Linked DNA regions of Daphnia pulex. The protein of the gene in region 1 binds, or shares a complex with, the protein of each later gene. Links are inferred from orthologs where the notes say so. Each region holds a gene or a part of one and is shown on either strand. Other genes may lie near its edges. The genes, in order: GRB10-interacting GYF protein 2-like and eukaryotic translation initiation factor 4E type 2-like.

What was found.
Region 2: the proteins of GRB10-interacting GYF protein 2-like (region 1) and eukaryotic translation initiation factor 4E type 2-like are in contact, whole or in part, in a crystal structure (PDB 5NVM), measured with the Homo sapiens proteins. The link is inferred for Daphnia pulex from reciprocal best matches to the Homo sapiens genes GIGYF2 and EIF4E2. Residues at the interface, in NP_001096616.1 of Homo sapiens: Leu38, Ala39, Asp40, Tyr41, Arg42, Tyr43, Gly44, Arg45, Met48, Leu49, Leu51, Phe52, Leu53, Asn56, Lys57, Ile58, Pro59, Asp61, Leu62, Asp64, Glu66, Phe67, Pro69, Ile70, Leu71, Gln72; in NP_004837.1 of Homo sapiens: His54, Pro55, Leu56, Gln57, Tyr64, Arg66, Asn81, Lys83, Gln84, Ile85, Gly86, Thr87, Val91, Glu92, Phe94, Trp95, Arg96, Phe97, Ser99, His100, Met101, Val102, Leu107, Phe113, Glu149, Asn150, Leu153, Leu156, Gly157, Glu158.

Annotation. Positions count from the first base shown.
Region 1 is NC_060018.1:13,092,822-13,104,170, forward strand, and holds the start of GRB10-interacting GYF protein 2-like, read left to right. Parts: upstream 1-6,551; 5' UTR 6,552-6,724; coding exon 6,725-6,729; intron 6,730-6,915; coding exon 6,916-6,975; intron 6,976-7,061; coding exon 7,062-7,287; intron 7,288-7,372; coding exon 7,373-7,669; intron 7,670-7,729; coding exon 7,730-7,958; intron 7,959-8,057; coding exon 8,058-8,337; intron 8,338-8,406; coding exon 8,407-8,940; intron 8,941-9,023; coding exon 9,024-10,176; intron 10,177-10,240; coding exon 10,241-11,349. Other genes in the region: solute carrier family 13 member 5-like, read right to left, coding at 1-109, 187-294; UDP-glucuronosyltransferase 2C1-like, read left to right, coding at 2,651-2,790, 2,866-3,280, 3,408-3,933, 3,999-4,492; ras-related protein Rab-18-like, read right to left, coding at 5,336-5,455, 5,532-5,657, 5,714-5,905, 5,970-6,087, 6,148-6,215. UniProt on the Homo sapiens protein: Key component of the 4EHP-GYF2 complex, a multiprotein complex that acts as a repressor of translation initiation. In the 4EHP-GYF2 complex, acts as a factor that bridges EIF4E2 to ZFP36/TTP, linking translation repression with mRNA decay.
Region 2 is NC_060025.1:6,907,528-6,918,177, forward strand, and holds eukaryotic translation initiation factor 4E type 2-like, read left to right. Parts: upstream 1-4,445; 5' UTR 4,446-4,621; coding exon 4,622-4,650; intron 4,651-4,714; coding exon 4,715-4,790; intron 4,791-4,917; coding exon 4,918-4,970; intron 4,971-5,036; coding exon 5,037-5,241; intron 5,242-5,306; coding exon 5,307-5,459; intron 5,460-5,519; coding exon 5,520-5,656; intron 5,657-5,744; coding exon 5,745-5,787; 3' UTR 5,788-5,837; downstream 5,838-10,650. Other genes in the region: chromatin complexes subunit BAP18-like, read left to right, coding at 532-580, 646-706, 770-871, 939-1,212; H/ACA ribonucleoprotein complex subunit 4-like, read right to left, coding at 1,309-1,365, 1,538-1,675, 1,735-1,879, 1,940-2,043, 2,110-2,349, 2,414-2,574, 2,635-2,884, 3,079-3,194 and 3 more; probable sodium/potassium/calcium exchanger CG1090, read right to left, coding at 6,836-6,894, 6,967-7,107, 7,182-7,313, 7,374-7,475, 7,550-7,852, 7,921-8,150, 8,317-8,504, 8,580-8,680 and 3 more. UniProt on the Homo sapiens protein: Recognizes and binds the 7-methylguanosine-containing mRNA cap during an early step in the initiation. Acts as a repressor of translation initiation.

The DNA.
Region 1 (11,349 bases):
CCATCAACGGGAAGATAACAATAGGTAAAAGACTAGTAACGGCCACTGGTAGAGCCGACGTGAGCCAGTAAATGGTCATAAGCAAGACGCCATAGCCAGCACGGGCTTCCTATTAAATTTTTTAAAAAGAGACATTTGTTTTAATTTGTATTTTTCTTTTACAGATTTCAACATTTAAATTCTCACCGCTCCGTGAAAGACCAATGGTAGAAGCAACAACGGAGTTAATATGACGACGAATGTCTTCAAGTAAGGACTGAAATGAAGCTGGAAGAATTTCTTACAGCTAGACATGGTGAATGATTTCCTGGAATCAGGTAAGAAAAAAACATGTTTTAAAAATTTAAATTTCCAACAAGCCAGAATGTCGTACGCAATGACCCTTAGTACGACATATCGCACGCAACGACCCCATGTGAGCCACGGGCCTGTATAATTTGTTATCGGGGGGAACAGAGTTGTCTGGATCTGATTAATATAAAAGACGGCAAAGTCAATATTTAAGATTAGGAAACTTCCAGTCGTCCCGATTTACTAGTCGTCTGTGTTGATCTAGCGCCCTTGACACTACTTATAGACGATATCGTAATAGCGAGCGGCTATATATCTAAGATGTACTGTAAACATACTATTGTATACGCCAGAGGTGAGACCGGGTCAATTGCTGGCCAGCACAAACAACGAAAAGAGCCGGAAGAACTAAACCGGTCGCGATAGAAAAACGCCATCACGTCGGGCAATTCACTTTTGTAGCTGCTCAAGTGCTTAAGTCGTTATGATAGAATTGCAATTGAACTTGTTACCAAGTCGATCGTTCCCATGGCAACAAGAACGGCTACTATCGATTTGGTTACCGAAAATGATGTAGCTAGAAAAGAAGACGAATTAACACACACCTTTTAGGGAGGGTTTCTAATTCCAGTAAAACAAGAGGCTGCTGACCAGCTGCAAACAATGTTGGGCGCCCGGTTTCTCGTTAGCAACACACTGAATTTTCATTGTCACACCGTGAGTTTATAAACTAGTCGAGGAGGAGGGAAAAAAAATAGAAGAAACGGATGGACCGGCTACAATGGGCTGCCTAGCTCGTGCGGTTTTTCACTATAAGATCCTTGAGAACGACTGGCATAAAAGGATTGGCTATTCACGCCCTTACCGCAGCAGCTACAACATATTGAATTGCACAGACCGACCGAGTGTATAAACATTGCCTGTACCTGACGTCAATCGAAATTGTTGCGTTATATCCGGAATAATGTGGAGTAGTTGAACCAGATGATGTGACGTCAACGTGGAATTGGTTGGACAGTCAACAAAGACGGCGACACTTGGCACTGGACTGTCGATGAATGGGAAAAGAAAAGATCTGGTTCCTTCCACGACATATGAGGAGGCCTGGGAAAGAAAAAAGGTGCGTGTCTAGAGGGTAAAGGAAGATTTCGAGAGCCAATAGGCTGGATGGATCCGAAGACTATATTAAGGCTAGGGGCGCATTTGTATACCTGTCTTGTTATTCTCCCTAGGCCAAAAAGGCTCAACCTTATTTTCACTTTTGGGTTGGGTTTTTCCGACTAGGGTCCCATTCGCATACCATCAAGTTATAGTGTCGTTAAGTTAAGGATTTAGCTTTGAAATCTTGTTTTTCTTAACTAGTACCCGTTGACGTTTCTCCCCCATGAGACCTGCACGTGCTGTCGTGGAATTTGCATTTCGTGTGAATCGACCAAACAGGTTCCGTTTGTGAAACGCCATTGGCTTATTCCCGCTTATCTATAATGACAACGACGTGATCAAATCACCATCGTCCTTTTTTTTTTGAAACTTTAGACTAATGTTCCTTTTTCTTTTTGTGAACTTTGTTCAATTCAATTAAGACTCGCCATAATTTTGTAGCATTCATCCATTTTCGGTCCGTTTTACGTCATCACAGTTGGCCATCCTCACGAAAAGGAAAACAAGAATGTGATTGATTGCCGTCATTCTCAAAGGGGAATAAAAGTTCCAAGGTAATCCCGGTGTTTTCAGGATAGAAAGGGTGGATTTTCGATCGAGCAACAACAAGGACATTTATTAGGGCAAGCGCGAATTATGTGGTAATACCGGACCCATAATATCCTATATTGCTATTAAGTTTATTCGGCCTTGGATACAGTCGCCAAATGTACGCCCCTTTTTTATTATTCGAATTAATAATATGTACTAGTGTATATCGCTTATCTCGCCATCGTCTCCCCATAGATCGCATTAGTTTTATTATTACACCGAAGAAATAGAAAAACAACGTCACAGACTGGACGAATAGACGTGTAGACATGTAAGATGTCTGAATCATTATCAGTGCCATGTCTCAGTCCGGTTTTTTCCTAAAGTTTTTCCAGACAAAAGAATAAACATTTAGGCAATACACGGTGGGGGGTGGAGCAGCGTCTTGCCACATTTCCTACAAGACCCAACCTGTACAATATTCTAGCTCGCAATATATCGAAACAATCAAGTCCCATCATCATCCCTCCTCCCCTCCCTCTGCATTACGGTATCGTCCGGTGAACTGATAAGACATTTTCTTTCGGTGTATAAATACCAGGGTGAGTTTGGTCGAACAGCACACAAGACACTTTCTAAAACTTTACCAGCAACATTTGAAACTAGAATGTCGTTTTTACCTGCTCAAGTCTCTGTTTTCTTTGTCCTGATTGGCCTGGCCAGCTGTCACAACATCCTGGTCTTTATGCCATTCGGCTCCCATAGTCATAAAGCCACTCTTATTCCACTCATTCAAGGCCTATTAGAGTACGAAATTGAATAAAACAAGACTTTTCATTATTAAATTCAAATTCTAACTTTTTATTTTTGCGTCTATTTAAGGAGGAACCACAGCGTGACTTTTATCACCAATCAAGAATCGACTGACCTTCGTTACCATAAAATGATGTACAACTTGGACGAAGTCGTCGTTCCAAACTTGAATTATTCCATGCTGGACCCGGAAAGCGCCGAGCAGAATTTTTTCGAAATAGCCGCCAAACAATCGATCGGCTCGCAGTTGAAAATTTTCAGCCACTTGTCTGGTCAAGTGAACCGAGTCCTCGATCAAACGTACAGCGACGCTGGCGTCCAATCGGTCTTGCGTCACGGCCAGTTTGATTTGCTCCTGTTGTCGCAGGTGGTCTCCTATGCTGGCTACCCTCTAGCATGGCATTTTCAATGTCCTTTCATATTATCCAGCCCGAATGTTCTAATGACAGACTCGGCTTACCTGTTGGGCGATTCTGAGCACACGGTAATGAAACCTTCATGAAGGCGATCAGGTCTTCTATCAACATTTTGTCCTTGAAATCTCGCTCCTATGTTCTTATATAATTTTGAATTCATTACTGACCTGGCGCATATTTTTATTCCGTTTCAAGGAGTACGTCCCTTTCTTTCTGATGGCCCTGACGGACCAAATGAATTTGGTGCAGCGCGTAATCAACACGGTCGTCACTCATCTGCTCAACTTCTACCAGGACGTGTTCGTCTTTCCGCGCTTGCAGCCGGCCATCGAGAAATATTTCCCTGGGGCTCCTTCCTTGATTGAAATGAAGGCCAACATCACCGCCGCCTTTGCCAATACTCATCCAGCGTTCAGTTATCCTCGAGCCTATCCACCAGGTGTGGTCGAATTGGGCGGAATTCACTGCCGCCCTGCCAAACCTCTTCCGCATCGCCTGGAACAATTCGTGGCCGAGTCCGGTAGCGCTGGTTTCATCGTCTTTGGAGTCGGTTCCATCATCCCGATGGACGAAATGCCTAGAGAAATGCTCGACGTTTTCATCCGAGTCTTTTCACGCTTACCGCAACGAGTCGTCTGGCAATGGCGAGGCTTCAACAAACCGGCCAATTTATCCGACAACATTCTGCTAGTCGATTGGCTTCCGCAACAGGATCTTTTAGGTATTTAGGAGCTTACTAAATTTCGAATGTAAATTCAAAAATTAACGGTGAATTATTGCGTACAGGTCACGAGAAATGTCGACTGTTCCTGACTCACGGAGGCCTATTGAGCACGCAAGAAGCGATCTACCACGGTGTTCCCGTTCTGGGTTTGCCGTTCATTAGCGATCAGCTGCTCAACATGGACAAGGCGGTCCGCGACGGCTATGCCCTGCAATTGCGCTGGAATGAGATCGAAGACAAGCTGCTCCACCGCACCATCCACGAGCTGATTTACCAAGATTCGTACGTGGAAAATGTCCGCAGACGTCAGAATTTGCTGCACGACCAATCAGAGAGTCCGCTAGAGCGCGGATTGTACTGGGCCGAGTACATTGCACGACACGGTGGCGCCCCGCAGTTGCAGCTAGGCTCTCGCCATCTCAACCGTTTCCAGCGATCCTTGGTCGACGTCTACTTAATCCTGGCCGCAATCGCTTGTCTCTTGATTTTCGCCACTTGGCGCTGTCTCGGCCGTTTCGAGTTCGTTGCCCGTCTGACAAAACTCGATTTATTTTAAATTGCGATCTCAAATTTTTGTAAATAACCTTTCCATTGTCGTCATTATTAAAAGAAATCTGGCTCACGTGACCCGGTGTCTAGACAGCGACGTATTGTGCAATCAGCCACCACAAGTGGCGTCGTTTTATTTCCTCCCTACTACAGATCGCGTCATCGTAACCTCAAAGGGAGGCAGCGATAAACTCGGTGACGTTTACCGACCATCACGCCACACGCGTTTCTTTTTTAATCGTGGGCTATAATCGACCGATTTAAAAATATTTTAGGTATTTCCCACGCGTGTGCCACGCGCTCAAACAAAGACGGAAATCTAAATAAACACAAAAATAACGTTTAAGCAGACCGACGTCTAGACGATTGCGATTAAATGATTAGAATGATTGCGTCGTCACGATGATAAAGAATGAATAACTGTATATCGTGTCCTACATCGAGTCAAGCGCTACGACATTCAAACAAGGAATCAATCGACAACTGCTGTTCCACTTTTCACAGCGATGCAATCATCTCAAGATAAACAGAGTACATATATGCTTAATCTAATAAGCGAACTTTCAGTGTACGTATCTAAACAACGGGAAAATTTGGATTATTTTGAAATAATGTATATTTTCACGCGCTTTCCGAAACAAACCGACATGATGTGGATTTCTGACAAGAACATTTTTGTTAAAGAACTAATAAGCCATGATTGCTCAACTGAGCAGCTTTCTCTTTACCAACTAATTAGTCGGATGACGAATAAAGTTGGTCCATTGTTGGACAGCAGACGCATCAAGTGTCTCGAATTTCGTAAACAAACCCCGAAGAAATTTACACAATAAGAATGACAGTTGTCTCTTCATACCAAACTGCAGTAACCCGAACATGACCAAGGTTGGCCGCCTTCAGTTCTGTCGGAGAGGGACATACCTCTTTGAGAGGACGCATCGGCTTCCCATAAACCAGGCGTCTGAATAATCTGTGGGGAATATAAAACATGATAACACAAGGAATCGACAGAGATAAGACTCTTTGGGGAAAAGTTATTTTCGTACCTTTTGTACAAGTTCTTCAAAGGCCATTTGGACTCCATCTTTAGTTTTCGCGCTTGCTTCTATGAAAAGCATTGAATGTTTTTTGGCAAACTTGAGCCCTTCTTCTCTGCTTACTTCTCTTCGTTCCTGGGAATATGAAAAGTGTGAAACAATGTCCACTGAACGTTACTAAAATATCTTACCTTGTCTATTTTGTTGCCTATCAACATTTTGACAATATTTGTGTTTGTAGCGTATGTTTCCAGTTCATCAAACCATGCATCCAATCTGGAAAAAGATTGTCGACTGCACACATCATACACCAAAATAGCACCCTGTGCATTTCTGTAATAGCTGGGTGTCAGTGTTCTAAATCTCTCCTGACCAGCTGTGTCCTGGAATTTTTCAAAATGATAAATCAACAAATGGAAAATGATGTCAAGTCTGCTCGTGTCATACCCATATTGCCAACTTGACATTGTTTCCATCAATGTTGATCAATTTGACTTTAAAGTCCACACCAATGGTAGCAGCCTGTTCATTGTCGAATGTGTCATCAGTAAAACGAAGCAGCAAACTGAAAGAACAATAAATCGAGATAAGGTTTGATAAACGAGTAATACAACGCTAATCTAACCTTGATTTACCAACGCCACTTTCGCCAGTAATGAGGATTTTCAACGTCGTTAACACGGAGGGATCCATTTGGAAGAAAACTGTGGCAAAAATCAATCACAATTACTTGTGTCGATGACGCAATATTCACAGATCAAGATCAGCTATGTGGAACAACGTTACAACCTTGTGAGAATGAAGCTGATTTGGCTCAAGTTGCAGTTGTATCTCTTTGTTGACGTTTTGCGACGACAGACGACCAGAGACCGACGTTGGTTTGATAATGGCTTTTTCATCATCAAAAACAACAAATAAAAGCAAATGAATATTCAAAATGATTATTATCTTTTTATTTAATTTATTGCGTCGTGATTTCGGCATGGTTATAATTTAAAATTAGTAAAATTTCGGTAGCGACAACAAGGCCCGTTGGCTCCTCCCCCCTGGTATCCGACATCTTGTAAAGCTATCGCTGCTCTAGTGCGTTGGTTGATAATTATAAACCCCTCTCTACCCGAAAAGAATATTAAAAATCTTAATTCTCGCTTCTGCTGAAATATTTCTGGATTCGTCCGAGAGCGAAATCGCATACGCAAATCATGAGGTAGTGCAACCAAAATCTTCCGAAATGCAAGAAGTTTCATGTTACATTTTGGTCGGAGAAAGCGTGTGGTTCTTGCGATTCTAGATGTTCTGTTAATCATCATACGGCGCGCCATTATTATGATTTTAATTCGTTTGGGCCATGGTCTCATACTAATGACAGGTCTCTTTTTCTTTCTCAAAACAGTACTACCACTGCAAAACCCTTGAAGATGAGTGACACTGCCCTAAAGTTCGGACCTGAATGGTAAATGTTTACACCAAAAGAATCATGGCATGAAACAAAGTGATGATTCTATACTGGAGTTGTGTGATTCTTGTGTGATGTTGCAGGCTCAGAGCTTTATCTCACGGAGACACTGCAGTATCCCCACCACCCAGTCCCAGCCTTGGAGCACCTCGATACAAGCTGGCTCAACACCGGTACGGAAGAGAAGAAATGCTAGCCCTTTATGACAAAATGATGAAGGCCCCCGATGACTTAACCACAGCCCCACCAATCTACATTGAAAAGACACAAACTCCCCTTGCACTTATTCAAATGTCTGACGAAGAGATGGTTAGTCTATTTGTTTTGGTTGGTTCTCCTGTTACCCATTGGTTAACCTGTTGCTTGATTTCATTTCCTCAATGTTTTTCTCTAGCGTATGTGGCAGCGAGGAGTCAACAGTGATGTTGTCCTAAAACAGATGGGTCGAACTGCTGGTCCACCCGTTGGAGGCAGTGGTCCACCGGTGGGAGCTGGAGCTTCTCGAGGCCGAGGCGGAGGAAGTATGGATCGTGGAAGAGGAAGAGCTCGCGGCGTTGGTTCAGCAGTCGGAGCGTACAATCGTGGAACGAGTTATGAAGATGGAGGAGATCCAGGAGATCATGGGACTCGCAGAGAAGGTCCACCGACAGGTTATGGAAGAGGAACTACTCGGCCTTTCGAGCGATCCCAGGTTGAACCCATCTACTACCCAATTTAATAGTCAAATTCATTACGTATTTATTTCATTTAGAGCTCCTCTGAACGGGTTTGGATCGAGCGACCCGAGAGAAATGGTGGCGGTGCCGAGTCAGAGACGTGGAACGGCTCTACTAGTCCACGTAAAGAATTTGGCACTGCCCGCCCAGCCGCCGGCGACAATAATTGGCGGTCGCGTGAGGCCATGAGAGAACGCGCTGAACGGGCCGAGAACAAAGAAGAGGAAGATGGTTGGCGAACTGCTGGTCGTGGAGAACGTTGGGGTACGTACTGTACAGAGTAGTAACACGCGAGTTCACATCGAACATGTTTTGACGTTTTACTTTTTTGCTTTTGTTTAAAAAAAAAACAACCACACGCAGGTCGAACTGGCTGGCGTTCTGAACGTGAAGGTGGGGAACGTGATCCACCGGGTGGTGAGAAACGAGATCCGTGGGTAGAAGGTAGTAATAATAGTAGCGGAGGAGGAGGAGTTGGCGGCGGAGGAACTGGAGAACGTTCAGAAAGAGTCCATCGCACTTGGGACGATGATGGCCGTCCAACGGGTAGTGCTGGCTACTACTCTAATAGCAGTAGGGGTGGTAGAGGCGGACACCATCCCAATCGGCGGGGTTGGGATGAAAACGACTCACTTCCCGAGTGGTAAGACTTGAACTAATACAACAAATACAAAATTTGATGATAATTGATTTGTAAAAATCTCGGACACAGGGTCGCGGAAGAACATTTACAAGGGGGAGGAACGTTTGACTCTTCCGGCGCTTTCCGCGACGAAAGGTGGTCAGACGAGGATGACGGTGAAGGCAAGAAGAGACGCGTGTTGCGGAAGAGAGCCGAACCGTCTCACGACGGAGGTGTCGGGGATGAAGACGGTGGCCCTGTCACGGTCGATTCCCCTTCCAAGGACAACGTTAAAGACTCACAAATCCACGAGGAACAACCGTCAGCTTCTCCTCCGGCTGCCGTCACTCCTGTCCAGGTTGCCGCCCATCAAATCTCCGCCACTTCCGCCGCTGCCGCCACCGTTGTCAATTCAAGTCCTCCCGTCCTCCGTGGTCCTAGTCCTGAGTCCTCATCAATGTTATCTCAGCCCAATCTGCGTGTGGACGAGGACGGCCTGGAACACGCTCAAGCGGTCGTGTCGACGCTGGTGGCTCAGTTGGTGGAAGACGAAGACCAACCGAAACCATCGCCGAGTCCGCCAAACCCTCAACTGAACTTAAGCATGGATCAATGGTTTTACAGGTTGAATCCTTATTTGTTGATTTCTTTCGTTTCATTTTTGCTTTAACGGCGTGAATTTCTTGTGCTCGTTTGGTGCGAGGCAGAGATCCACAGGGTGAAGTGCAAGGCCCGTTTGCGACGGCCGAAATGAGCGAATGGTTCAATAGCGGTTATTTCACCATGGCGTTGAGTGTCCGACGTGCCTGTGACGAACGTTACGCTCAATTGGGCGAACTGACGAAGATGTGGGGCCGTCTGCCCTTCATGCCTGGCCCTCCCATCCCGCCTATGAAGAACTCTGACCTGCATCCGCTGGTGTCGGCCGAGCAGGAGAAGCTGCAGATGCTCCAACAGCAACTCATCCAGCAGCAAATGTTCCAGCAGCAAATGATGCAGCAGCAGCACATGCTCAGGCAACAGACGATCATTGCCAAATTGTCGCAGATGGAAGGCTGGAACACGCTGTCGCCCATCCAGCAGCAGCAGGTGGTTAACCAGCACATGGCAAACATGCCGCATCCACTCCCGGGTGATCCTGTCCTCCAGCAATTGCGGCTCCAGATGGAGGCTCAAGCTAAACTCCAAGCTGAAATGATTCAGCTTCAGCGCAGCAAAGAACAGCATCAGCAGCAGCAACAACAACAACAGCAGCAGTCTGTGCACTCTTTAGTCAACCATCTCAGCCAGCAGCATCATCAGCAACCGCAAGCAGTATTAGAGCAGCCAGCTCTTGCCAACAATCCCAACAACCTGATGAAGTCTCATGATCCGATTCAGGCGTTTATCCAGCAGTTGCTGGGGCAATCGAAATCGCCCCCGGCCGTCGTTTCGAAACCTCCTACCAGCTCCATCATGAATAACCCTAAACCACAAGAAGCCCAGGTTGTCCTGGATCCCATCCAAAGTCTCATCCAACAAGCTCAATGGAACGCCAATCATGTAGCGGCCCAAAGTGTTGGTGGAACCATCGTTGATCCAGTGATGGGCAATCACGTGGCGCCGGGCTTCCATGGACTGCCTCCTGGCGTCGGTGTTCCCTGGCACAATCACTCTGCGCTCTTCCAGGCCGGTCCTGCAGAGCTTCAGCCGCCCATGACGTCCGTTTGGGATCTTGAAAGCGCCAAGGTCGAGGAAGCAAAGCGCCAAATGGAGCAACAACATCAACAGCAAATGGCCGCCGAAATGCACCGCAGGGAGATGGAGGAGAAGCGGATGAAAGAGGAGGAAGAAGAACGTCGACGACGACTTGAAATTCAAGTAAATATTTAGAAATAAAGCTGCGAATGTTTGTGTTTTTAATTTTTAACTTTTCTTGTTGCAGGAGAGGGAGGAAGAGAGGATGAGGATAGAAGAGATGCGAAGGGAGACGGAACGACAGCAGCAAGCGGAAGAAATGAGGAGGAGAGAGCTGGCGCAACAACAGCAGCAGCAACAACAGCAAATGCAAGCCATGGAAGAGAAGCGGCGGCGCGAGGAGGAGAAGCGCAAACGAGAGGAGGAGTTGAAACAACAGCAACTGGAAGAGGAAAGGATCCGGCGAGAAGAAGAAAGGATCCGGAAAGAGGAGGAGAAGGCGGCCGAACAACACCGCCGCCAGCAGGAAGCCCTTCAGAGGCTTCAGGAGCAGCAAGCCGTGGCTCAGGCTCAGGCTAGAGCGGCCGCCCAGCAAGCGGCTGCTGCAGCCGCCGCCGCCGCTCAACAACAGGCGCAGGCTCAAGCTCAGGCTAAAGCTGCTCAGGCCATGATGGCTCCGTGGGCCCAACAACAGCAGCAGCAGCAACAACAGCAACAGCAAACCGGTGAATCGCTGAGCATGGCTGAAATTCAAAAGTTGCAGGAAGAAAAGGAAGCCAAAGAAAGGGCAATCGCCCAGGCCCAAAAGGCCGAGCAGGCGGCTCGTGCGGCCGCTCTTTTACAGCAGCAACAACAGCAAGCGGCCATTAAGCTCCGCTGGGCCAAACAAAACACTCCGACCCCATCCAACGCCAAGTCTCTGGCCGAGATTCAGGCCGAGGAGGCAGCTCAACTTGCCCAGCAAAAGGAGAAGGAAGCCAAAGAAAAGGCCAACCAGCAGGTGAACATGGCGCACCTGAATCTGGCGGCAGCCAGCGCTTGGGGGTCATCGCACCACAGTAATTCGGCTTGGAGTTCTGGCCGGACTGTTGCCGCTGTTGTGGCCCAACAGCAACCCCCACCACCTCCCCCTTCGGCGGCAGCGGCGACGGCGGCCACCACCACCGCCAAAACCAATCATTCCACCACCACGAATGCCGACTGGAAAATTGGCCTGACGGTTGGTTTCTGGGAGGATCCAACCCCTCCACCTCCAAAGGCCACGAGCAAACCGGCTCAGCAGCAAGCGGCGGCCAAGTCTGCTGGCGGTGGTGGTGGCAAGTCTGCTGCGGCGGCTGCGGCGTCCAAGCAGCCGCA
Region 2 (10,650 bases), on another chromosome or scaffold:
CCGGGAAAGTGAGCCCGTTCGACTTTGAATCGCTGTGTAAAAAATACAGCTATTAGTATATCTTCATGTGATCCATTTTGAAGACCTTTCTTTGTTTAATCTCTTTCATACAAAAATTTTCGTGATTTGTAAGACATTTACGTAAATTTTGTGTTAATGTTTAGTGGCGTTTTGAATTTTGCAGTTTGAATTGCAGCGGTGGCGTTTCGAAACTGAGCCCCGTTTGACTTAGAATCGCTGTTTTAAAAAATAAATCTATTATATCTTCGTAAAATGTGATCCATTTTAAAGAGATTTCTTTGTTTAATCAAATGCCTACAAAAATTTGCGTGATTGTTGTCACAATTACGTAAATTTAAGTGTCTAATTACTGCAATTGAATTTTGCAGTTTGAATTGCAGCGGTGGCGTGTCAAAACTGAGCCTCCTTCGACTGTGACTAGAATCCCTACGGGAAATTATGTTTTTTTATACCAAATAATTGACTTTGTGGTGAATTTTCTGGGTTAGTTGTTTGTAAAAGTGCACAAGAATGAACTCTGCTAATAAGGTTGCCGATATATTTGGAGCTGCAGGATTAGGTAAAATACACATGGTGTATGTAGGTAATTGTTGAATGAGTGATTTCAGCCATTATTTTTCTTAGCTTTCAGTACGTTGGGGAAATTGACCATGCAGCTACATTCCTCAGAAAATGCCAATGCTGGGTAAATAATTTAAAGTAATTTACTTTTGTAACACTGTTGTATTTTTAATTTTTTCTTATACAGGTCAAAATGGAGTGAAGATGAAATTGAAATGTTGAGAAGTTCCATTAAGCGCTTTGGAGAAGATCTTGAAAAGATTTCTGAACATATTAAAGACAAGACAGTGTAAGTTGATTGCAAAAATCATATGTCAGTGTTCAAATTTCAAATTTTATTTGCTTCTATTTATTAGGACACAAATTCATGGTAGTTTGAAGAAAAAAACTTTTGAGGCAGCAGGTATTCCTTTGTCCAAAGTCATCAGCCAACCAGTTGTTCAACCAAGTCCACTCCAGAATATTAATTCAAGTCCTCAGCAAGCAGTTGTAGTTGTTCAACAACAGCCCCAAATGATTAATAACAAGTCAACAGCTGAAGTGACATTGAACATGTTAAATGCCTCTGAAAATGAAGTTGATGTTGAAGGGTTAAATTTTGAAGGAGCAAATGAAGTTGTCACATCTTGAAACTTTCTGATAAATTAATACACAGCATAAAAATGAAATGAATTGTATTTTCGAATTTTCTTGCAAACATAATATTACAAATTATTTCAATTATAATTAATCATCTTCCCGATCGACATCTTTCTTTTTCTTTTTTTTCTTGGCAGACTCCTCCTAAATAGAAATATGTTCACATTACTAATGCATACCAAATTACTCGGCGAATAATATTTGCAGTATGTTTTCATTTAGGTAATTTTCGTCAGAAATATTCCGTTCACTACTTTCATTAAATAATCACGACACCTTTGTTTAAAAAAAAAATTAATTGACAAGTTTAATTTACCTTGATTGTTGATGTGTCCACTGCAATTGAAAGGTCTTCATTTTCAGCTGTTTTATCTTTCTTCTTCTTTTTCTTCTCTTTGGTTTCAGGAACCGATTCTACGGTGGCATCAAGAATGCTTTCATTACCCTGCGGCTCCTGAAAATCATCCATAAATGATTAAGACATCATTATTTCACAAGAGTATAAACACTTACCCGGTCTTTGTCCTTTTTCTTCTTCTTCTTCTCCTTGGTTTCCGTCATGGATTCTGACAACGGATCAGCAACGGCGCTCGTTTCACTTAACTTTCTTTTTCGTGCCTCAGCATCTTCAGTTGGTTCAACCTTTTCTTTTTTAACGCTACAGAAAAATATAATATTATTGAAAAATTTGATACAAATACTGCGTTGAATTACATACTTTAGGTCTACATAAGATGTCAACCAATCTTTAGGTGTCTTGTCATTAGGTTTGCCAAACTTATCCAAGAGTCCCTGTTTCACCATACCCTTCTTGACGGAAGCCTAAAATTAAACAAATACATACATATACATACAAGTAACGCCAATGTAAACTATATCAATTTTTACTTTAGGTCCAAGTCCCCATTTCCTGGGATAAGTGTCACGCTCCATGACAACACGTTTAATTTTGGCAACAATACCATGGTCACATGAAGCCATGGTTGTTGTCGTCATCAAAGCAATGGCGAGAGCCACTGCTTCTCCTTTGGTTGTTACTATAACAATCTCTTCATTTAGTTCGATACCATTTTCGTACCGCAATACACCAGGCAACATGATTTTAGCTCCATAGCAAACGGCATTAACCTGTTATATATTTTTTTAACACATTATTATAAAGAATATTATAGATAAATATTAACACACTTACAGCACTGTCTTTCATGATTATTCGCTTGTGAGACATCATCAATGCCTCTAATGGACGAATAACCCGCCGCAGATATGTTTCGTCCTTATGATTATCATGTAACCACTGCGCATCGATTACATCGTGCATAGTCATTAACCCTTCTTTTTCACTTTGGATACCTTATAAAAAATAAAATCTTCATCTTAAGAACACACACAAAAAGAAACTTCCTGGCTTACCAGAACGAACTCTTCTGAGTTCCGCCATCTGAGCTCCTACGCCTAGCACCAAACCGAGATGGACACAGTGGGTACGAACGTAAGTTCCGGCTTCACAGCTAACCCAATAGATACCCATTTGTCTCTCGGCATCGTACTCGTAAAATTTACTCTCGTAAATGGTTCGCACACGAAGTTGTCGCTTAACAGCCGAGATCAGTGGTGGACGCTGAAACAAAGCTCCAGTCAACTTCTCAAGAGCTCGAGGAATCTTAATAAATAAAAAAAATATATACAAAATTAGTATTTATAAAGATCAAGTTTCTAACTTAAAAAATTAACAGAATTCAGTTAAATGCTTCATTATCTTTAATTATCTTCAGTCATTTCAGTCCACTACTTTCGATAAATTAATCATTAGCATCTTTAGCATAAGGCTTTCAACTAGAAGGGTCAAGAAACTACCTGATTGTTATCTTCAACTGCAGAATGAAGCTTAAATATGGCAACATACTCTTTGCCAGCTCCCTGCTGAGATTTGACCAGCCTTGTAGCACGATCAATGCAAACAATCAAACACCCTGTATAATATTCAATTAGTAAAGTCCATGGGATTTTCTGAGTGCTATCAACATACCTGTAACTTTAGGGTCCAATGTTCCTGAATGACCCGTCTTTTCACATCTTAGAATCCTCTTAATCCAGGCAACTACTTCGTGAGAGCTTGGGTTAGATGGCTTGTCAAGATTAATAAAACCGCCATGAATATAATCTTTAATTGGCCTCTTCAATGGTGAACAACCACTTGGAAGAGGTGTATAATGATTTGTCCTTGTGTTTAACTTGTCAAAATTCTGAAAAAAAAAGATGATTTAGAAAATGTTCACATTTCTTAATAAATAACAAGGGAAAAATTAATATCTATAAAGATCAAGTTTCAAACTAGAAAAATTTTAAGAATTTAGTTTTAAATGCTTCATTATCTTTGAGTGTCTTCAGTCTTTTCAGTCCACTACTTTCGATAAATTAATCATTAGCATTCTTAGCATAATGCTTGTATAGATAGATACTAAAATAAATTATTTTGAGAACATCTACATTTAATTTAATATTTAACAACATACCTTTAGTAACAGCGGCCATTGTGAACAGTCCAATTTTGCTACTGGTTTTTCTGATGGCTCCAACACAAAGTCTGAATCTCCTTGAATATCTCCCAAGGACTTTCTTGACTTCTTTCCACTTTGTTTCTCTCCTAGGACTTCTGAAACACAGGAATGCTAACATTAACCGACACGTGTTACCAACATTAATCCGTAGATCACAGAATTAACCAAATTAATGTAAATTTCGAATCATACTATTTGTGCAGCAAACTACAATGCATCTTTTCCATGTGAAAACACATAATCGATCCCTATAACTAGCTTGTAAAATTTATATTATGTGATGGCGCTTACCAGATGAATGCATCGTGCTTCACACGTGGTTCGAAGTCCTGTCTTTGATCTAATGTGTTGAAAAACCTCTGCTACAAAAAAAGAAACCAATGAGCGGAAGTGTTGAGCGTTGCCATTTGATTTTTGATTCTTATTTTTGGAAAAAAATTAATCACGAAGTCACTTTTTCTGCTATGACATGTATTTCCAATATTTTACTTGATTTTAAAATTCAATGGTTCAAATTATCTCTTTATTACCATTACATTAGAAGTTACAATAACTATAACATCTTTCTCCCGTGGGCCGTGGCGCTTTGGCTTTGGGAAGGGTACTCTAGTGTGTGGCGCCAAAACCTCTTGAAGGTCACCTGGTGGCAACTGGTGGCAATTTTTCGCTACTCTATAGTGTGGGTACTGTTTAGTGTTTTCACCATCTAAAATTTGTACAACATTTCTGGACATACTGCTTGTTTCTTTCTTTAGTCTTTCTACTACATGCTGCAAATTGGTGTATAAATTAAGTGAACAATTTGACTGTAACACTCCGATTTCGTAAACTATTTACAAATGGCCCTTAATAACAATAAATTTGATGCGTAAGTTTTCAAATTTTATACATGTTTTAATAGAATTTGCGTTTACTTTGTTGCTTTTCGACAGGTTGAACAACAGCGAAGACAGTGATGACGACGAAACTTCATTCAGTGAAGAAAGAAAGAAAAAGGATTTAATTTTGGTGAGATATTAACTGCATAATACACAAAAAATTATTGTAATATCTATTAACTCTATGTTAATGATGTGATAATTGCGATAGACGAATTTATGTGCTCACTTACCCATTTTTTCCTACTAATTTAAAGGTTAATTTTTTTCAGCAACCCATTCAAGTTCCTCGAGAAGAACATCCACTCCAGTACACATGAAAATGATATTACTTTTATTAGTACATGTTAATTATAGAAATACCATTTGTTTTTAGATACACATACTGTTTGTGGTTTAGTCGGAGAGCTCCTGGAAAACATGCAGCACCCCAAAGCTTTGATCAGAATCTAAGAATGGTTGGACGTTTTGCTTCTGTAGAACAGTTTTGGTCATACTATTGCCATCTGGTCAGGCCTTGTGAACTCTCTGGTCACAGTGACTTTCATTTATTTAAAGATGGAATCAAACCAATGTGGGAGGTTGTATTATTAAATAATAATAAGGGTGGTGAAGTGTTTATTAACCTACTTTTTTTTCCCAACAGGATGATGCCAATCGTTGTGGTGGTAAATGGATTGTGCGTCTTCGAAAAGGTTTAGCCTCACGTTGTTGGGAGAACTTAATATTAGCTATGTTAGGCGAACAATTTATGGTAGGCGACGAAATATGTGGAGCTGTCGTCTCAATTCGATTTGCTGTAAGAAAAATGTTTTTTGTGTTAAAAATCATATAATTTATATAAATATATATATTTTAGGAGGATATTATTTCGGTATGGAATCGAATTGCAAGTGATCAGGCTACTACCAACCGAATTCGAGATACACTTCGTCGAGTCTTAAACCTTCCACCGAACACAATACTTGAATACAAAAACCACACGGATTCTCTAAAGTACGGAATGGTGGTCTCGCCATTCAAATGAGAATTCATAATCTTTTTCTCTTTCTTTCCTCTACCTCTTCTCCCTTCAAATCTCCAGGGACAATTCCAGTTTTCGGAATACCGATGTCTTTGTCCGATAAAGACACAATATTTTACATCTCAAGCGGAATATAAATAAGTTGAAAGTTGACCTGGTCACGGTGTTCATTACCGATACTGTTATTTCTAGCTTTATAAAAGTTTGATTCAAATGTGTCTAACATTCTTCGTTGAATAATCTCTAAATACGAGTTTATTCAATACTTTTATGGAAGAACCAACTTAAGCGTCAAATGTTGTAATGATTACTTATTAGCTTTACACTGTAAAGCATGGGAGCTTGTGGTGAAACTATTTGTTGTTAATTGATTTTTCCTCAAAACCACACATTTGACAGACGGTTGATTTATTAGCTTGAGATGCTACTAACACGGAGTAGTACATTCAGCCTAGAATTAAGAAATGCGCTAGATTTTTCAGGTGAGAAACATGCGTAATGTATGTGGAATAGGGTGATGAACGGTTATATTAAATGAGAAAAGTGGAAATCAAAAATCAACATCCATTGTAGCTCACCGCTCGACGAACGTCAAAATTTTGCTGGTGATACTTCGATTCGGAATTGTAAGTAGTGATTTACGATAAACAAGGTTTCACGGTGAAATAGATTGCGAAATATAATACTGAAATTAACAAAAGAGGAAAATGGAAAGCAACCTTACTTATTTAACATCAACAAATTGGCACACGTCGAGACACCGAAATACGAATCAAATGTAAACAAACAAAAGGACGATGGCGGACCATCGCAAAATAATAAACAAAATTTTAAACCACACAATAAATGAACTATAATTTTATATTATTGTGAATGTAAACATCGTTGCAGTTGTATCTGTATAGATTAGTAGAATAAAAATTTTGAGCTCTACCAAGGACCATATATGTGCGGCCGAGAGCTGCGGAGCCCGTTCAAGCTCCGGGAAACAGCTTGTAAGCTAGATAGTGCGGATTGTATATCAGCTTCATTCCCTGTTGAATCCAGGTTACCATGAATTGATTCCCTATAAATACTGCATGACTGGAGTTGCCAAGAAGATGATATTTGTTGGTGTAAGATGGTCACCTAGAATAGATGCGCTTCATTTCTCAAAATTCGCTGTCACATTCCGGCGGGTTAAAGTAGCCAAAGATGTTCATCTCGTACACTAGAGTAAAATTTATGAATAGGTTAATACAAAATTCAGCGTTAGTTAGAATAAAACCTAATTTAAACGTACTAGAAGCGATGATCATGAAGAACAAATACCACCCCAGAAGAGCAACTCCGTATTTGCGATCCAGCTTCCAGCCATTCAGATGAGTGGCGCCCAACAAGAAAACAATGGTTGACAGCAATGATAGGGTTGAATATGTTAATCCTGCATTTTTAACAGAATAATACTTCATGGTTCCGTAAACGTGAGCAATGGTGAAAGTGTCGGTGGTACAGTACCTTTGCTGATGACTCGAACTACACTTCCCGGATCAACGACGGCCGTTTGAAGAAACCAAGGTAGCCCCAGACAAATGAGAATATCGAATACATTGCTGCCGATGGCGTTGGATGTAGCCATGTCACCGTAACCTAAAGAGAACGAATGATTACTATTTGTATCAAATTTTCCTTTTATTCAGTCATTTTCACCTTCTCTGGCAACAGCCAAACTGGTTAGAATGTCGGGAATACTGACACCAGCAGCCACAAACGTCAATCCCATCACAGTATCCGGAATTCCCATAGTGAAACCTGATCACAAATTTAGTAAAATAATGTACCGTCTAATAAATACAAACATATTCGAATGAGTAAATATTACTAACCAATAATAGTGATCATCCAGACCATGACGTAGGAAAAGATGGAAATCCAGAGCATGCTGATGAAAAAAGAAACAAGGAACCAACTGCCCCATTTCTCTAAACGGCAGTTGGGCATCGTGTAGTAAGCAGCAGCACGCAACGGCAGGCAGATGGCCCACGTGATCCGGTCTAGAAATTCTACTGGTGGTACCCACGGCGAAAATCGCTCTGCCTCCTCCTCTTTAATCTTGCTGATCGAAGGGCCGGAAGTGCCTCCAGCGTCACAGGGACCAACATTTCCGTCAATCGAAGATTTCACAGAATCTATTGAAGTATTTCCAAAGAAAAATGTTAAAATCGGAACAAAGTTTCCTGGATGTGTGAGGCATTACCAGGGGATCTTTCGTCGGTGTAGAGTTTCCCAGCGGGGCCACTAATGCCACCTGCCTCCGAGTCAAGATTCTTGTAGGGCATCAGCGACGCGTTTTCCCCACCGGGAAGTCTACGGGCGTAGTCGGGAATAGGAATAGGCAAAGTGTTTGCCCATCGCTCCAGTTGAGAGTTGTAGACCATCATTACACAATAGGCCACGTAGAGCATCAGGAAAATGGTCGACTCGTACCTTTGGATAGTCCAAAACGATTACGTTACCATTAAAACAAAATCGAATAGATTTTTTGACTGCCAAGGTTTAATGGCGCACGTTAATGGTAAATGGTAACAAAACATTCTTGATAAGACAATAAAGCTCCAAAATCGATATTTGGAATGTCGAATATTTCCATTACCATGTGACAACTTCATTGTAGATGGTGAAGAGAAGAGCAAATATGGCCACGAAATAAGCGATGCAGTCACGAACAAGCGGCCACCAATTCAGATAGATGACACCTCCGGAAAAGAGGGCGCACACGCTGATAACAAACATGATATTGAAGACGGCAGAGCCAATCACGCCACTGATACCTATGTCATCCTGTAACAAAATACATATATCAGTTACATTTATTTGACTCTGATGAAAGAACCCGAGAAATTCATTCGACATTACCTTGGCTATGAATACACCAATCACTGCAGTTGCAAGTTCTGGAGCGGATGAACCAGCTGCCATAAAAGTAGCTCCCGCCACATCTTGAGACATGTGCAGGGCTGCCGGAAATCGGTTTCATTAGCTGATTATTGTCGGAAATAAGAAAAACAAATTTACAACATACATTCCACCATCCTTTCGAGTGCAGGAACGAAGTAGTCATCGCAGACGATGGATAGACCCAGGAACATGTAAGCGGAAACGAGCAAGTGGACCACGAGACCACCCTTGGCTCGGACATATTGCGGGATGCCTGGCCGTGGAAATTCTTCAATAGCCGGAGGAGTGCAGTTGATTCCGGCGAACGGATCTAAAATTGGCGTTGCAGTCGACGTTCGTTTTTCTTCGTTTGCCAACAAATGGCGTCTCCAAAGCCCAACTAAATTCAATTAATCAAACATTTAAGTAGAGTAATGTAATTTTGAAATAATCCAAACAGAATTAAAGAGAAACTATTGGAAGTAAAGTAAAGCTACTCACCGCTTTCGATTGGGTCATCATTATCGACAAAAGTCGTGGGATTGAAGCCAGAACGAGGTAGATGTGATGTCACCAGGATCAGCGCAAGAACACTAAGTCCAACCAGATAAGCCCACATGCATCTCCGGCGGTTGGCACGCTTGCATCTCGCAAAAACTGGTCCGACACTCCTCGCCGCTGTCTGGGTTGAGACAAAATGAAGAATCAATACAATGTTATTAAATACTATTGCTGCAGCCGTTTTCAGATACAAGAACAGGTGAAGAAAATCAATTTCCAACGCAAGAAAATGTTCGCTTTTGTCGGCCAGTTAGTCGGATCGATTAAGATGGTGGCTCGTGATATCGACGTCTATCTAGATCCTTAGATCGCGCAGCACACGATAGGGACCTAATTTATTGTCTTTTATACACCAACATTCTTTTGCACTTCTTTCCTCGAACTCATTTTCATCAAAAGTAAGAAAGCCAGACATCTTTACTAAGATGCCCAACTATAAGACACTGTCTGTTCCATCCAGCTGTCAGATTGCCAAATGTTAGGAAGTTACACATGAAATCAGTGTCTCCTTTCTTCCTGTTCACCAGACAAAGGAGACCAACTGGAAAGATAATTGGGTTCGTTAAGGAATTATTATTATTAAAAAGAAACACATCTCTACGTTTGCCGAATGGCTTTGGCGAAAAATATACAACACCCCAACGTCTAGCCTTTCAAAAACGAAATGAAACATAAAGCACTTGCGGTCGGCTCAAATCACTTAAAAGACAATTTCTGGTCTGATTAAATAAGTTACGAACGCACAATTGTGAGTTATAGGAGTGATGTAATACGTGGAAGGCATGCTATATATATGACGACAGTACAGCAGAGCTATTAACGTTGAAAAATGCTCGGTAGTAATGCACTCGCATGACTAAATCTCATTACTTGCAACCCGTCAACATGTCTCACAACTAAAAAATTAAACGATTTAGACAGACAGCAGCGAGGGATTCTACCAAAAACGATTTTATTACAGACAATTCCATTAAACGTAATCACCGTTACCAAATCGAATTTATTTTAAACGTTTTTTTTTTTTTTTTTTTTGGTTTCTGTAACTCACTTCCACAAAACCAAAGTGCATGCTGGCCGCCGAAAGATTTTCGCCTACGTCAGAAATGTCGATTACTCGACAGAGCGATAGAAGATCAGAAAGGCGACAAGATGGCTGAATTTGACCGCCTTTATTCGCTGATTAATACAATTCCCTGCGATTCCTATAGACTCCCTCTACAGACATTTCTACAATTAAGAAAATCACGTAATAAAAAAACGTTCGACGCTTTTTCTTACAATGACAATAAAATTGCTAAAATATTCGAGCTGAAATTAATTAACGAGAATCTGAAGAGTGAGCATTTACCGGTTGTTGGAATGACATTTAGATATTTCGAAAGCGTCGGGCCGATTCGTGTTGGTAGCTGTCGGTAGAGAATCCAATGACGTGGCGAGAACGGTGCTAGTTGGAAACGGAACTCTATCAACTCGACATAGCTTATTACGC